Linked DNA regions of Cricetulus griseus. The protein of the gene in region 1 interacts with the protein of each later gene in a pairwise test. Links are inferred from orthologs where the notes say so. Each region holds a gene or a part of one and is shown in the gene's direction. Other genes may lie near its edges.

Region 1 (4,046 bases):
GGGTTCTAGGAAGCCGCCATCTTCCTGACCGGAAGTTTGCACGGTGCTGCCGTAACGTCTTCTGGGAAATGTAGTTCAATGGCCCCGGGATCCTGGGGGTGTGCCTTAGAGCACACTGGCAGGAGTGGGGCTGAAGTGGGGTAGTGTTAGGGATGGGTGTGACAGAACGGGGTTGACTGAAGCAACACTACACTTGTCAAGGCTTCTGCTGAGATAGGACAGGAGCCGACCTGGGCGGGGCTGATTGGTGATTGACGCGGTGGGACTTGACGTGGATTTGCGTCATGTATTTCTGCTTCGTCTTTTACATATGTTGGCACTCACCAATACCATCGCGATGGGGGCTGGGGAGCACACTTGTCATCTCCGCACTCCAGAGGGCAGAAGATGACGTCAGGTGTTAGGCTAGCCTGGGCTATACGAGACACTTCTAAAAGCCAAAATGGAAAGGAAAAATAAAGAAAATCCCGCAGATACCGTGGACAGGCTCCTTGTCCCGGGGGAGCTTTCCGGCGCCAACAGACGGTGCTCTGCTTGAAGAAAACCGTTGTGGGTCGGAGAGCAGGTGCGGCCACCACCACGCCTGACCGAGGGAGAGGATCGATCCCACGAGTGCTTGCAGCTCACCCACCACAGACACAAATAGATAGAACAAAGTAATGAAAAATAAAATTTATTCCAATGTTGGAGCCCACGCCTACAGGTTTGTTATTTTTAATTTTAGAAACACACACAAAGAGAGAAACAGAGAGAGAGAGAGAGAGAGAGAGAGAGAGAGAGAGAGAACAGAGAGACAGAGACAGAGAGGAAACACACAGACACACAGAGAGAGAGAAACACACACAACAGAGAGACAGAGACAGAGAGGAAACACACAGACACACACACAGAGAGAAACACACACAACAGAGAGACAGAGACAGAGAGGAAACACACAGACACACACACAGAGAGAAACACACACAACAGAGAGACAGAGACAGAGAGGAAACACACACAGAGAGAAAGAGAAACACACACACGACAGAGAGACAGAGACAGAGAGGAAACAGAGAGAGAGAGAAACAGAGAGAGAGAGAGAGAGGCAGAGAGAGAAACGCAGAGAGAGAGACAGAGACAGAGAGGAAACACACACACAGAGAGAGAGAGAGAGAGAGAGAGAGAAACACACACAGAGAGAGACAGAGACAGAGAGGCAGAGAGAGAAACGCAGAGAGAGAGACAGAGACAGAGAGAGTAACACATACACACACACACACACAGAGAGAGAGAGAGAGAGAGAATGAGAGAGAGAGAGAGCTTACAGTAAGAGTGAGCCCTGGTGAACCTGGGGATGGACACTGAGAAACCCTGAAATGGAAACAGAGAAAGGGACTGCAAGTTTGGGCTGGGCTGTTAGCCTGGAGTGGCACAAGGGTCCCAATTCTCCATCCTGTCCACATTCTGGAGGAAGCTGACATCCTGAAGAAGGAAACAAGACAATAACTCTCCATGTGACCAGGGCAGGAGGCTTCCTGTTTCTCAGCCCCTCCCAGGCCAGCCTTGGCCAGCACAGCCTCAGCAGCCAGTGGCCAGGATGACCTGAGATGTGCCCAGGCACTCAGGCCTTTCCCAAGGTGCCCTGGAGCAGAGGAGAGGGTGGAGCCCCCCACTCCCAGGGGAGGGAGCTTGGTGCTAGGAGAGTCCTGGGAGGAGAGCAGATTCTTGGGGTCCCTATCCCATACCTCCATAGGGGAGAGAGGGGGACACTGATGAGGGAAAAGCACCAGAGAAGGGGGCAAGAGGTTGGGGCAAATAGACAGGCAATGGGCACCATCGGAGAGGTATCCAAATGTTCTGTCAGTGCAGTTGACCAAAAATTCCTAGGGTGAAAACCGAATGATACGGGGAGACAAAGGGAAGATCTGAGAGCGGGCTGTAACCAGGGGGTTAAAGAGGCAATGAGCGCCCGGGCCACTAGGCCCCGAAGCCGCCGAGGGAGGCATCCTCAGCCTGTAAGTGTGCCCCTCTTCCTGCTTCACCCAACCTCATGGATCCTGGAGCCTAGGCCTGCTTGGACTAGAACCTGCCGTGGTGGGGTTGTCATTTTCAGGGGGAGCTGGACCCAGTGGCTGAGAGCTCAGAGGAGGTGGAGGCCACCAATGGGAGCTTCGAGTCCAAACCTGAGTTACTTCAGGAGCACCTTGGTCCTGACCTGCAGAGCCCAGGGAAACGGTAGGACGAATTTAGTGCTTACTTCCTGTTCCAGCAGGAGCCCCTCACAAAGCTGCCCTGCCCACCTCTCTTAGTGTCCATTGCCTCCTCTATCCCCCTCCATCTCTCTCTTCCCTTCCTTTTCCTCCTCAGCTCACTGCCTGCTCACCCTTCCCAGGGACCTTGAGGTCTAGCCCTGAAGCCCCTGCTCAGACTCAGGTGGCTGGGGTTCCTGGGTTGTCTTTCCAGGCCTGAGGGTGATTGTGACATGGGATCCCACGGGGCCATAGCCTTGAAGTCAAAGGTGGAAGGCCACCAGACCCTGCAGGCAGCCCCTCTGGATACCAGCTCTGGTGCCACATCAGTACCCAGTGTGTTTGAGACCCTGCAGAGCAGGCTGAGCTCCCTTGAGGCCACTGTGGCCGCCTGGCGCCACCGCTCCCGAAGCTTTCCAAGGCCATTGGAAAAAGAAGAGAGAGACCAGATGGCATTGGAGCCCTTTGATGGTCAGGAAGAAGCCTGGCCTGAACAGCACGAGGCAGCTCGCCTCAGAGAGAGGAACGCCTGGCTGCGGCTGGCCCTGGGCCGCCATGAGGATGAGCTGGTTTGCACTCAGGCTTCCCTGCAGGATGCCCAGGCAGAGAAGGAGATTCTGCAGAGACAGGTGAGCTGAACAAACACACATTTATTCATTCAACAAACTGATGTGGAGGAATGACAGCCACAGAAGTGACCAAGGAAGACAGCAAAGTGAAAGAGAGGGTCAAAAGGAAGCCAGGCAGGGTGCACCCCATGATCTCAGCACCCCAGAAGCTGAGGAGAGACAGATCTCAATCAGAGGCCACTTGGTCAAGACAAAGGTCATTCTCAGATGTAGACTGAGTTCAAGGCCAGCCTGGGTTAAAGACCTGTGTCAATTTTTCTGTTTGTTTTTTAAAAGTTTCAGAGTACCTCAGTGATAGAGGCTTTGCCTAGAGTGTGTGAGGTCCTGGCGCGCGCGCACACACACACACACACACACACACACACACACACACACACACACACGTGCGCGCACACACACACACACACACACACACACAAATCAATCCAGTCTTAGGGTTTCTATTGGTGTGATAAAACACCACCACTAAAAAGCAATTGGGGAGGAAGAGGCTCTTTTCATATTAAAACTCTCAGGCAAGGAGGGACTACCACAGTATGCAGGATGTGGAGGCTGAGCAGGACTGCAGCTGTGCTATGTGTACTGCGAAGCCCCAGAGGGTTCTGGGTTCTGCGGGGAATTGGACCTGCTGGAGGTGTTCCCTTGCGCCATCTGCTGACCGTGGAAGGAACAGCCTGGTGGTGGACCATGACCCTGGTGGTGGGGGAGGGGCGATAACAGTGGGCCCGGGGAAGAGTAAGGTGGTGGTGACCAGAAATGGGCAGATTGTGTGTGATGTTAAACCCAGGTGTTGTGGGACAAGCCTGTCATGCTAAGAACTCTAGAGCCTAAGACAGGAGGATCACAATAGCTTAGACAAGATAGGCAAACGTCTCAAAATAGAAGTAAAGACAGACTGGGCTAGGGTGCTCAGCACTCAGTTTGGAGAGGCTCTTCTCACCAACATAAAAATGAAACTCTCCTTCCTGAGTGTGATGGTGGGAGACTGAGGCAGGAGGATGGCTGGAGCTGGGGAGATCCAGAAAACCCAGGGAAACACTGAGTCTCCTAAAAATTAAAAAGGAAAAAAGTCAAAAAGGCGGGGGCTGGAGAGATAGATGGCTCAGCAGTTAAGAACATTCACTGGTTGTTCTTCCAGAAGCTCACAACTTCCTGTAATTCCAGTTCCCAGCAACCCAACACTCTCACA
Region 2 (4,177 bases), on another chromosome or scaffold:
AGTGGCCAGCATCCACAAGCCCCGCCCTCAGCTCCAATCTCTCTCTGATCCCTTAGGCACAGGCTCTCTCTCTGCTATTACTACTTCTGCCTCTAGACCCCTGGTCCCAATGCCACGCATTGGATGTGCGTCGTGACCTTGACCACGTGAATTCTTTGAGGGCATGGCCTATAACTGAGTGAGAACACCCCTTCTACCCTGCGCTGAGCACCCCAAAAGCCAGGCCCCCCGTACAGAGACACTCACAGACATGTGCATGGATCTGTAAGTTGTCTCCTGGAGACAGTGTGGTTCTGGGAAGAGCCAGAGACCAACCTGACTCCCGCTAAGAAGAGCTCTTGACATGGACAGCCAGCAGAGCCGTGGCTCGGAGCCTGGCAGCTTCTGACTTGTCGCCTATGGCAACATGGCAGGGGTAGTGGCTGTGGAGGGGCTACAAACAAGGGCTAAGCCAGCAGGAGAGGCTGCTCCAAGAGTCTGAGCGGCGTGGGGAGAGGAAGTTAGGCTTCACTGCCACTCATGGCTAGAGCAATAGCGTACGGCAGTGAAGGGAGGGGTGGCCCGCCACCCTTCCAGCGTGCTGAAGCTCACCGCTGTGGGCCTGGCTGCCCTGCAAACCCCCCCCCCCCCCCGCCGCCCATCACCACCACCAGAACATGCTCGGCTTGCTCAGCAGCCGGAAGAACCATGACTTAGGCATTCCAAGCCCTGGGGAAGTTGTGTTTCCATTGTTTCAGCTTCCAGAGACCAAAGCTGGGTCCTTAGCCCACACCACCACCAGTCTCTTCTCCCTTCCTGGCCTCCTCCTCTTCTTCCCAGCCTCTCCCTCCGCGTTGCCTTTTCCTCCTCCTGCTCCTCTTTGATCTTTCTCCCCGGCCTCCTCACCTTCCTTTCACCTCTCTGTCTCCCTCCAACTTGTCTTCTCTTCCTCCTTTTCCCTCCCTCCCTTCCTCCTCTTTACCCTTCCTCCATACCCCCTCCTCCTCCCCTTCCTCCTCCCCTTCCTCCTCCACCTTCTCTCCCTCCTCCCTCCCTCCCCCCTCCCTCTGGCTTTCTTTCCCTTCCTTCTTTCTCCATCCCTTCCTCCTTCTCTCCTCTTCTCCTCATCCTATCCTCCTTTGTTCTCCTTCTCCCTGGACCTATGTGCCCTGCCTCCTGCTTCTAACTCACTTCTCTGTGGTGAGAGGAGACAGAGAAGGAAGCCTGAGGTCTAAGAGAGCCCAGGTGAAGAGCAGCTGCAGATGTCCAGATGGACATTACAAGCCAGAGTACACAGCTGTACCAGGAGACAGAAGGACAAACACACACACACACACACACACACACACACACACACACAGAGAGAGAGAGAGAGAGAGAGAGAGAGAGAGAGAGAGAGAGAGAGAGAAGGCTCAATTAGAGCCAGGACTTTCCCAAGTCTAAAAACTCCAGAATGCTTGACAAATTCAAAAACAGAAACAAAACAAAACACCAGCCCTTGCTCTGGATTGATTGCTTTGCCTTGGGGCCTGAAAGGGAACCACAGCCCTCACCACAGTCCTGCCAGGCAGAAGGTGGCGGACGGACCCCTACGGAATAGCACCCTGGGTTCTGTTCATTTTCTGCCTCTCCTATGACCACCTGCCACCTCTACTGTGACCCAGAGCTGTCTGTCTGCAGCGATTCCGCACAGGTCACAGCAACCTGTTTACAAACAGCTAGAGTTCCAAGGCTCTCTTAGGACAAGGGACTCGGGATGCATCCAAATGGACAGCAAAGCCTTGGTCAGAGAATCCGTCCCTCCCTTTCTATTTATGCCGATGTAAACACTCGCCAAGGAAACAAGCCATGCAGGCATGCGCAGCCCTGCAGGCCCTCGGGTGGCTGCAAAAGGCAACTGGAAAGTCACATGTCATAACACTGGAAAGTACATATGCAGCTATTCTTAGGCTTGGAATGTATACACTGTCTGCCTGCCCGGCAGCCCTTGCACCGAGCTCTAGGAGCTGTGAAAGTGCCTGCAGCATAAACAAACCCAGAACTCATCTAGGACAGAGAATTTGCCAACAGAAGGAAAGGCCTGGGGTTTATGGTTTTATTCCAAGACTAAGGTAGAAACCTTCTGAGGGGACAAGACAAACCCGGCATCCGTGGATGTCACTGCAGCAAAACAAGGTAGGTGTCCCTAACTTGTCATTCCTCAGCAGGCAGACTGTCCATGTCACCAAGGAGCCACAGAAGTGTTTGGTGTTCTCTACTAATTACATCTTTAAAACAAAACCCAGAGACCATGCGGTCTTCTCTCTAGATCTGGCCACAGCCCGCTGTAATCCCTCACTTCTGTCCAGTGACCAGAAGACCACACCCCCAGAATGTCAGCCTTAGGGAATAACTAACTCCAAGAAAGATTTGTAGACAAGTTTACTGGCAAATCTGCTAATGATCTGGACAAAGGCATACATTACTTGTCAAATGCATGGACTGCTTTTTTTGTTTGTTTGTTTATTTTTGTGCCAGGCTAATATGTGAGTCTCTGACCATCAACTTTGGTTGGAAGAGGCCTAAGATTAGCTGGAGATGCTACATGTCTTTTATCTCTGAGGCTGTTCACAGCCTGAAGTAGATCACTTTGTGGTCTGCGATGAGGGTGGTTTCCTCTTCCCTCTTCAGTGTGCTCTGTTTGTGAACCCATTGACTTGGTAAATAGATACAATGAACGAGGCTTGGAGCCCCCACAGCTAACCCCTCTAGTACACGATGCCAGAAAGCCTTGACCTTGCTTCCATTTGGGGCTTCCCTCCTTCTTTGTAGGATGGATGAGGAGCTACCAGATGGGGTTGTCTTCAAAGACGACAACTTCTCCTCTGACTTGTTGAGACAGCTCAATGACTTAAGGCAGAGCAAGACCCTGACCGATGTGAGCATCTGCTCCGGAGCCTGGGAGGTCCCTTGCCACCGCAATGTGCTGGCCTCCAGCAGCCCCTACTTCAAGGCCATGTTCTGCAGCCACTTCCGGGAGAGCACGGAGGCCAAAGTGTGGCTGAAGGGCATCAACTCCAGCACTCTAGAGCAGGTCGTCACGTATGTGTACACGGGAGAGGTGCACATCACAGCTGCCAACGTCCTCCCCCTGATGGAGGCAGCCGCCATGCTGCAGTACCCCAGGGTGTTCGAGGCCTGCTCATCATACCTGCAGAGCCAGCTGGCCCCCAACAACTGCCTGGGCCTGGTCAGACTCGCGGAAATCTTAAACTGTGAAAGCCTTAAGAAGAGAGCCAGGGAGGTGGCCCTGACTTGCTTCCCAGAGGTAGCAGCGTCGGCTGACCTGAAGGAGCTCTGTGCCATGGAGTTGAGAGACTACCTAGGAGATGACAGGCTCTGCGGCGAGGAGGAAAAGGTGTTTGAGGCCCTCATGGCTTGGGTCAAGCATGACCTCCAGGCCCGATGGCCCTACATGCAGGAACTTCTGCAGCAAGTCCGGCTGCAGTACATACATCCTGCCTTCTTTCACCATTTCATTGCCAACGACGCTGTCCTCCAGTCGTCGCCCGCGTGCCGGGCCATCCTGGAGGCGGCCAGGAAGCAGATGTTCTCTTTGTACAGCCCCAGTGCCCAGGACTGCAAACTCGTGTGGCACGAACCCCCGAGGAGCTGCTACCAAGACTGCCTCCTTGTCCTGGGGGGCCAGAAGGACAACCAGCAGACCACCAGGGATGTCTTGCTCTACAGTGTACACACTGGCCAGTGGCAGAGCCTGGCCAAACTCCCCGCGCGGTTGTACAAGGCCTCGGCTGTCACCTTGCACCGCAGCGTCTACGTGCTCGGGGGCGTGGCTGTGAGGGAGGGCAAGAGTGCCGTCAGTGCCAGCGTGTATGTCTTCTCTCTGAAACTCAACCAGTGGAGACGCGGGGAGCCCATGCTGGCAGCCCGCTACTCTCACAGAAGCGCCGCCCACCGGAATTTCATCTTCTCCATCGGGGGCACCGGAGAAGGGCAGCAGCTCCTGGGTTCCATGGAGAGGTATGACAGCGTCTGTGATGTCTGGGAGAGCATGGCTGACATGCCAGTGGCCGTGCTCCACCCTGCGGTTGCCGTGAAGGACCAAAGGCTCTATCTTTTTGGGGGTGAGGACATCATGCAGAACCCTGTGCGCCTCGTCCAGGTAACCAGCCGGTCCTTCTCTCCACGCTAGGACCAA
Region 3 (3,949 bases), on another chromosome or scaffold:
ATCAGTGTCTGGGGTCAGACCATCTGAATTTGTGCCCTAGCTCCATGATGAGTGACTTCAGAGCAGTAGGTTAGACTCTCTGGGCTTCCGTTTCCACTCCTTTGTAAAATCAGAATGCCAAGAGACCCAACTTTGTAAAGACTAAATGAACTGGAACGCAAAGAGTGCATAATTTATACTCTCTTGTTTTAGATGCACTGTAGCCCAATGCAGGCAGAGCAGGTAACCAAAGCTGTAGACATCTGCATATTCCAAAACTGCTTGATGCACCCTCAGTCTTCCCCTCTGGCTGTTTAAGGGACACCAGAAAGCCAGAGAAATCGTTCTTGTGGCGTCCTACCAACTTTCCCCTTCATCTTCTCTCTACTGCAACAAAGACACTGCTTCTCTGTACTTCTTGAATCTTTGCCGTGTGTTTGTTTACTTGCTTGTGTTTTGAGACAACTCTCACATAGCCCAGTCTGGTCTCAAACTAGCAATGTAGCTGAGGATGACCTTGAACTCCTGATCCTCCTACCTCCACTTCCTAAACTCTAGGATTACAGGTGTGCACCACCATCCCAGCTTTTGTGCTATGCTGCATAATGAAGCCCAGGCTTCGTTCAAGCCCTCTACCAACTAACTGAGCAACATCCTCAGACCACGAGTCAAAAGTACAGATGCATAGTGTTTGCTCCGAACTGCCGGGTTCTTAGCACTTCATGTATACCCCTGCCAAGCCTCACCTTAGTAACCCTGTGGGTGAAGGACTATCGTTCTCCACTCATCTCAGAAGAGGACCCTGGGCTTCTTTTCACCAGCCTGGCTGGGAATGGATCCCAGGAATGGCGCTCCCGAATCCCATACCTGCTTGTAGCCTTCACAGAGGCCAGAGGCCAAGAACTGGGCCAGGTAGGCAAGAGGCCAGGCTGGAAGGAAGCCGGGCCGTGCTCCATGTGATGCTGCAAGGGTGTCCAGACGCCCGCTGCGCCCTGACTGCTCCGGGCACAGAGACTGCCTGTGCTCCCAGCGGTCTTACACCACCGCTGTGTCTCAGAAGCCTAAGGTAACCGGATCCCTGGGCGGGTGGAGCAGCAGGGCTTCACTATCACTGAGACGCTGCTCAGGCCCCCAGTCCAGACTCTGCGATCGGGACACTCAGCTCAAGGCATGGCGCAGAAGCTGGGCGAGTGGGGCAAGGCACCCGCTGAAGCCACCGGGCTGTACCGGGCGATGCTGCTCAGGTCGGGTAAGTGGAAACCACGTCGCCGCCGGGACCACCCTCTGCAGACTGCAGGGTCCTGGTTCTTCCTTTCTTGGTGCCCAGGTTTTTTGGTTCCCATCATCTCAAAGCTTTGACGTTTCTCCATCACTCTTTGCTCTGTCCTTCCTTTATTTTTTTCTCATTTTTTCCTTCCATCCTTTGCCCTCATCCTGAGTGAGGAAACACATGAGCATGCACAAATGCAAACTTGTGCTTCCACTCCACATCCTGCCTGCAGGGGTTCCGCGAGGTCCCTGTCGGGGTTAGTACCTGGCAGTGTTCCCAAGAGCGTGCACTGGCAGTCAGGGAGGGAGGGAGGTCTGACAGCCAAGCAGGAAGGAATTCCACGGAGGAAGAAAGCCCTGAGTCTTGGCCACCACGGTTGCCCATGATGAGGGGACAGCATGGGTCAGGCAGCTCATAAGGCATTTGCTAAATGTGGGCGTGCAAAAAATTGGGAAGGAGGCATATGGCGGTCTTTTGGATGTTGTGGATGTGGTTGGATGGCAGGTGTTCATCTCTAAACTTTTTGTTTTCTTATGTGCGGAGAAGCACTGTATTTTCTACTCAGGAAACTTTAAAGGCCTTTTAGCCAAATAATAAAATAAATGAATATATGGTCAGCATAAAAATAGTTTGGGAAAACATCGAGATATAGAAAAAAGGGAGAAAATGCCCTTGATGAGGGCTTAGGATGTTTCCTTCTGGAGCTGAACTCAGGGAGGGGGTTTGGGGAACGGTAAAAGTGATTTGAAAGTGTCAACGGATTTGGCTCCCTGACCAGCAGCCTTCTCTGCAAGGAATGGGTCTCAGCCAAGAGTCGGCAGACTGGGTCCAAGGCGCCGTTGGGTCCGCCTACAGCTTAGGGATCAGAGTTGCTGCCCTGCACCACCCCGACCCCACCCCCAACTCCCGCCCCTGCCGACTGAGATATTGCCGCCTAGTTACTGGTTGTGAACATTTGAACAAGGGTTCTCTTAAGTCCCCAAACAATAACTTACCAAGGATTCAAAACCAACAATGGCTTCCTGGGGGCTTCCTTGCCTGCATAAAGCCAGCAACCCCCAATAGAAGAATCAGATTTCAAAGTTCCGTGTTGAGGTGCCCGTTCTCCTAAAGCGGGCAGCAAGGTTCCCTAACCCGAAAGACCCTGAGTTTTCTCTAGCTGTGAATGTTTTTCTCAACTTTTGGTGCATCTACACAGCAGACAAGTCAGAGCTCCCGAGTCACAGGCTTGTCTCCCTGAGGCCTCCCTGAGGGCTGAGTGCTTACTGATAGAGTAAGCACTAGAAACATCAAATGTTTAGTTCCACCTTCCCAGTTCTGCCAGGTCGCACTAATCATCCTCTCCCTTTAGTGAATAAGGTGACAGTTCCACAGAGCTGCAACAGCAGCCCATAGTCTGCTAAGGAGGTTTCCACCCTCCCCAGAGACAGAAAACACTTTCAAACTCAGAGCTACCTCTCCAAAGTATGATTAGATCCGTGGTTCTCAACTTGTTTGGGGTTCCACAGGGGTCACATACCAGATATCCTGCATATCAGATATTTACATTACGATTTATAACTAGCAAAATTATGGTTGTGAAGTAGCAATGAAATAATTTTATGGTTGGGGGGTCACCACAACTGAGAGATTGTATTAAAGGAAGGCTGAGAATCACTGATTTAGACAAAGAGTGACAATTGTTCCCATCTCTGCAATATAGTGATGCTTGCATCCATAGATCAAAGGGGCAGGACTTACCCCATAATCCTACTAGCTACAAACACCTGATAGTTACACTTAAGGATGTTGCCTTCTAGTTTATCCCAGGAATAGTTTACCTGTACATTTGTTTCATACTGAATTTCCAGTTTTTTCACTTCAGTGGGAACTTTAATGCTGTTACATGATGTAATAGCATCACTTAGGCAGGTGGCCCAGCTCTGGGGCTGAGGTTGCCATGCCTATGTCCTCCATTCTTCAGAACAACTGCCCAGTTATAGAGATGAGGAAGGCATGTTGAAGGTCTCCTAGCTGTACAGCAGTCCATCCAATGTTGGTGCCTGGGTTGGCACAGATACTCATAGCCCCCTGACTGGAAGAACTCACTCTGTGATATAACTCATGCTCAGTCATACCTGGAAAGCTATTGTCCTTCCATAAAAGTCTACCAGGCAAGTATTACTTTCACCCTGGGGAGAAAGGCTTCTGTCTGCATCCTGGTACCTCCCCAGGTCTGTACTCCTTGTTAGCCACCAGGGGGCAGTAAAACCTCCATTCCACTACTATTGCCAAGGAACATTACAAACAAACAAACAAACAAACAAACAACAAAAAGACCTGAACCCTGGTGCAATTTGAACCTCACATAAACAACAAAGAAGAGTTTATTGCAAGTAGCTCCAAAGATAAAATGGATGTGCTTGTACAAACAAAACAAAAAAATCCATTGTTTATCTGAATTAAATTCTAGGAGTGCTGCTTTCCCCCACCCTTCCCCCAGGCCTGCAACCATGGGCTTTCTGAAGTTAGATGGCTTTCTATGATCTTCCCATCACACATACATACACCTGGGAGGCACGGGAAAGGGAGGGAACAACAGAATATATCCTGGTTTGTCTCACTGATAGGAAAATGAAATAGGGGTAAGATCACTCTTAGAGACCAAATTCACCATGCCAATGGCAATGGGTTAAGAGCCAGTTTTTGGAAAAAGAACTC
Region 4 (3,965 bases), on another chromosome or scaffold:
ACAGCTGGGAGTGGGCACAAACTTGCTCAGTGCTGTTAGCCCTGTGACCAAAATACTCCTTGGGAACCTAGAGGGGTCTGTCTTCTAGAAGAAAGACAAGCATAGGTGCATGGTATGCCTACATGCATGCATGTTCTCTCTCTCTCTCTCTCTCATCTCAGGCAGCATGATGAAGGCTGTATGAACTACTTGAAGCAGGAGGAACCTTCTTGTACTGGTTGAAAAAACTCTTAGAGCTAGAGCTGGTCTGTACCTTGAAGGTGAGGAGCCATGTTCCAACAATAGAGGGAGGATCGTGGAGTTGGAAAAGTGCAGGGTGTGTTGTGTAGAATGGCAGAATATTTGGTAGAGTAAGGGCCTAGGGTGGATGATGACAGGCAGGTGCTTGAGGTAAGCCTAAAGTTTATGGCTAGATTATGAGTAATTGCATGCTGTTTATTGGAATCTGAATTTGTATTCTCTGGCTTTGACAATACATGATTTTTCAGAAGAGATGGACAGTTTGTGATGTTTTATGGAAGTACATAGCAGAAGCATCTTAGAGTCAATAGACTTAAGGTTCTGAGGTCAGGCAGTGGGTACAAACCATACATTCACATGCCAGTCAAGTGCTCTGGACTGTTCACTAAAGCTCTTTGAGTTTGCTTCCCTGTCTGACCATTGCCTGAGATGTTGTGGGCATTAACTGGCACCAGCATTACTTGGCACAATGTGATGAATAACACTAGTGCCCATTTCTGACCCTGGGACTAAACAAGAACTGTCAGGATGTAGTAGCTATTTTCACTATGACTTCTGCAGAGACCTTTTGTAGACCATTTGGAGTTTCCTTGGGCCAGCCTGCTTATTTCATCCTTAATAAGAAATACCCATGACTAGTGACAGAGTGGAATGTTCCGGTAGCCATATATATATATATATGGACAGGGTTTCTCTGGGTACTCTCTGTAGACCTGGAACTCTCTCTGTAGACCAAGAACTCTCTCTATAGACCAAGGTGGCCTTAAGTTCAGAGATCTGCCTGCCCCTACTTGCCTCCATAGTTCAGGGATTATAGATGAATTCCACCACTGCTTAGCTTGACTTTACTTTTAACTCTGCCTATTCAGAACACTTTTGGCTCTAATGAAAAACTTTTATAGATCATTTTATTTAGGAATTAAAAATGGAGTCATCATATCTTCAAAAGTGCCTGGGGACATGCCTGACTCAAGGTCTCGCTGAAGTGGCAAGAGTCCGCCCATTGGATCCAATAGAATATTTAGCCTTGTGGATTTATAAGTACAAGCAAAATGTGATCATGGAGCAATTGGTAAATATGGATCTCCTTTCAGGAAATTAGAAGAGCATGATAATTGGTTCATCTTGTTTACATTTTATGTTCAATATTGTTTTTCCATTACAATAATGTTTATTATATGAAAACTTTGGACAGTATGTGAATGCAGAGAGGAGAGAAAACAGAAAGAAGGCTTCTGTTTTGATTTTAAGTATTTTCAACCCAGTAGTGTCTTTTCCTGACATGTTTGTCTGTAGATTGGTTTCATTTTTCTTTATATTTGATGTATAATCTTAATTGTGTGTTCTTTGTTTGGCTAAATCATAAAAATCCCCCAAATTGTTGTATAGTTTCCAAATGAATAGAGCATTATGTTCTTAGCCCTTCTTTTATTGCTGGTGGTTGAGATGCCTCTGAGACTGTGTTAACAGATTGGTCTCTAATAAGTTGTGTGCTGTTGCTTTTTACCAATTGCTAGAGACAGAAAGAGATGATTGAGTTGGAGCATGAGAGAGAATTAGCACTGATGGAGCAGGAAATGCTGGAGCGACTCAAAGCTGAGGAACTCTTATTTCAGCAGGTAAGACAAGCACTCAAATATGATGGAAGTTAACAGTGTCACCCTTGGTGTGCTACAACCCACATCTGGAAATACTCCCAGGCTCTGGTCATTCAGACATTGCTCCCTAGTATCCCCATCCTTTTTTTTTTTTTTTTTTTTTTTTTTTTTTTTTTTTTTTTTTTTTTTGTGAAGAGACAGTGCCACGAGGAAACAGAACAATTCAGAGAATAGTCAACAGCACCACTGCTGAGCTGGTGCTCATTTATAGCCCAGGCAGTCTCTCCAGGAACAGTGGTGAGTGTGAGGTGTAGAGGGTAAGAAGGGGGATGGTGAGTGAGCATTATGCTTTAACGGGGTTTGTGAGGGGAAGGGAAATGGGTTTTATTTTGATTCAGGAACACATGGAACACGTAATAGAAAAATCGAAAAAACCATCTAAAACCTTCTATCCACTGTAAAAAGAGGCAATGGGCCTGGAAAACAAGTGGATGAACCTTTCTGTTATTGCAGCTCAGAGACAAAGCATAGGTGGCTAGGTGTAGGTGGGTGTATTGGCTTGTGACACAAAGTTGAAAGCTGACTTGGTGTGACTTTATGAGGTAAGAATCAACCAGGACCATATACTTAAGAATCAAGTGATGAGGTAGGAGGGATGGAAAGAATGATGAAGGTCTGAAATAATACCTTAGGAGGATGGAAGGGTAGGTTGTACATCCCTGACCTAAAAAAAAAAGAAACCCAAAACAAGAAATATTTCTAAATATGTAACTTTTTGCGTGCTTACATGGTGTCAAGGAATGGAAAATTACACATCGTTAAACTTTGTTTCACATAGCAAAATGATAAAATGTGGTATTTGATTACTTTCAGTTAGAAGATAAAATATAACTGAATTTCATGTTGTCTTGGGTACCTTACCTGAGTCATCTTACTACAGTCTTAAGCATTTCTGAAACAAGTATGATGTAGTATTTGGAGGCCAAGCATCTGTAGTAGTGCTGCCCACTTGGACCTGTCCTCCTCTACAGCTAGATCTGTCTCTACTGAAGAGAAGCAGGGAGTCTCAGCTGTTCTTCTTTCCCAAGACAATGAGTTCACTATGGGGATATACTTCACAGCCTTTGATGCGTCTACTTCATTCTACTGGAATAAAATTTTAGTTACACTAGAAATTCAACATTTTCATAGCTGTGTTAGCCAGCAAAGCTAATCTTCTGCATGTTGAACCCAAAGCATTTCATTTGCAGGGGGTGTGGAATGTAGGATGACATTCTACAAGAGATGTTATGGTTAGTTAAAGAAGTGGATGGGTGGGCAGAAGTAGATAAGAGAAGGAGAGCTGAACCAACAGAAAAGGGCTTAACAGGGAGTGTGTTGAGATGAGAAGTAGCAGATCATTCTTTTTCTCTTGCTCCCTGAAGTGTTTGAGTTGGAGGCTGAGGATTTGGCTTCTTCCTCGAGGTCATTTACAACTCAGCACTGATGGGTTTCCAAGAGTAATTCATGGACACCTTTGCAGCATCCTCTCCTAAACAAAAGCCAGAGAAAAAGCTGGGCAGGTGGTACACACTTACAATCCCTGTTCTGGGAAGGCAGAGGGAGGAGATCTTAAGTTCTGGCCTAGCCTAGGTTACATAGTGAGACTGTCAAAAATTAAATAGAGTAAGCAAACAAAACTCAACAAAAGCTGAGAGAAAATGCTCAAAAGCATTTGACTTGTTTTTAGTTGACAGCTGATATTGTTCCTAGTGTCAACAAATTGATCAGTGACTAAAAACAAACAAACACAAAAACAAACAAAAATAAAAGAGACATGACTGCTCCTAGGTATGGTGGAGGAGAAAGTTTACGGGGAGAGTATAGCCAGAGGCAGGTACATCAGAGTCCAGAGTGAACATGATCCTGAGCTGGGTCACATGAGGAGAGGGACAAGGGGAGAGCCGGGAGAGTAGAGAGTAAACAAAAAGGGTTTGGTAACCAATATGTCTGGGTTATATAGACAAGGGCATCTGGGGAAAGGGCACCCCAACCCCTGGGCTGGAAAAGTTTAGGAAGTGGGCTATGTCAGCCATACCCTGTAACAGTTAGGGACTGAGGAATACTAGGATAATGTAGTGGCCAGGT

What was found.
Region 2: the proteins of Ushbp1 (region 1) and kelch-like protein 38 interact in binary tests that used the Homo sapiens proteins (3 or more experiments, as listed by UniProt). The two-hybrid records come from large-scale screens. The link is inferred for Cricetulus griseus from reciprocal best matches to the Homo sapiens genes USHBP1 and KLHL38.
Region 3: the proteins of Ushbp1 (region 1) and Fam107a interact in binary tests that used the Homo sapiens proteins (3 or more experiments, as listed by UniProt). The two-hybrid records come from large-scale screens. The link is inferred for Cricetulus griseus from reciprocal best matches to the Homo sapiens genes USHBP1 and FAM107A.
Region 4: the proteins of Ushbp1 (region 1) and Dydc1 interact in binary tests that used the Homo sapiens proteins (3 or more experiments, as listed by UniProt). The two-hybrid records come from large-scale screens. The link is inferred for Cricetulus griseus from reciprocal best matches to the Homo sapiens genes USHBP1 and DYDC1.

What each region holds. Positions count from the first base shown.
Region 1 is NW_023276806.1:247,620,572-247,624,617, reverse strand, and holds the start of Ushbp1 (Usher syndrome type-1C protein-binding protein 1), read left to right. Parts: upstream 1-1,246; 5' UTR 1,247-1,616; intron 1,617-1,866; 5' UTR 1,867-1,940; coding exon 1,941-1,994; intron 1,995-2,092; coding exon 2,093-2,214; intron 2,215-2,442; coding exon 2,443-2,857; intron 2,858-4,046.
Region 2 is NC_048603.1:29,296,805-29,300,981, forward strand, and holds the start of kelch-like protein 38, read left to right. Parts: upstream 1-1,377; 5' UTR 1,378-2,154; intron 2,155-2,790; 5' UTR 2,791-2,791; coding exon 2,792-4,141; intron 4,142-4,177.
Region 3 is NW_023276807.1:166,707,002-166,710,950, reverse strand, and holds the start of Fam107a (actin-associated protein FAM107A), read left to right. Parts: upstream 1-1,149; coding exon 1,150-1,228; intron 1,229-3,949. UniProt on the Homo sapiens protein: Stress-inducible actin-binding protein that plays a role in synaptic and cognitive functions by modulating actin filamentous (F-actin) dynamics. Mediates polymerization of globular actin to F-actin. Also binds to, stabilizes and bundles F-actin.
Region 4 is NW_023276807.1:179,045,273-179,049,237, reverse strand, and holds the start of Dydc1 (DPY30 domain-containing protein 1), read left to right. Parts: upstream 1-1,165; coding exon 1,166-1,312; intron 1,313-1,757; coding exon 1,758-1,859; intron 1,860-3,965. UniProt on the Homo sapiens protein: Functions as part of axonemal radial spoke complexes that play an important part in the motility of sperm and cilia. Plays a crucial role during acrosome biogenesis.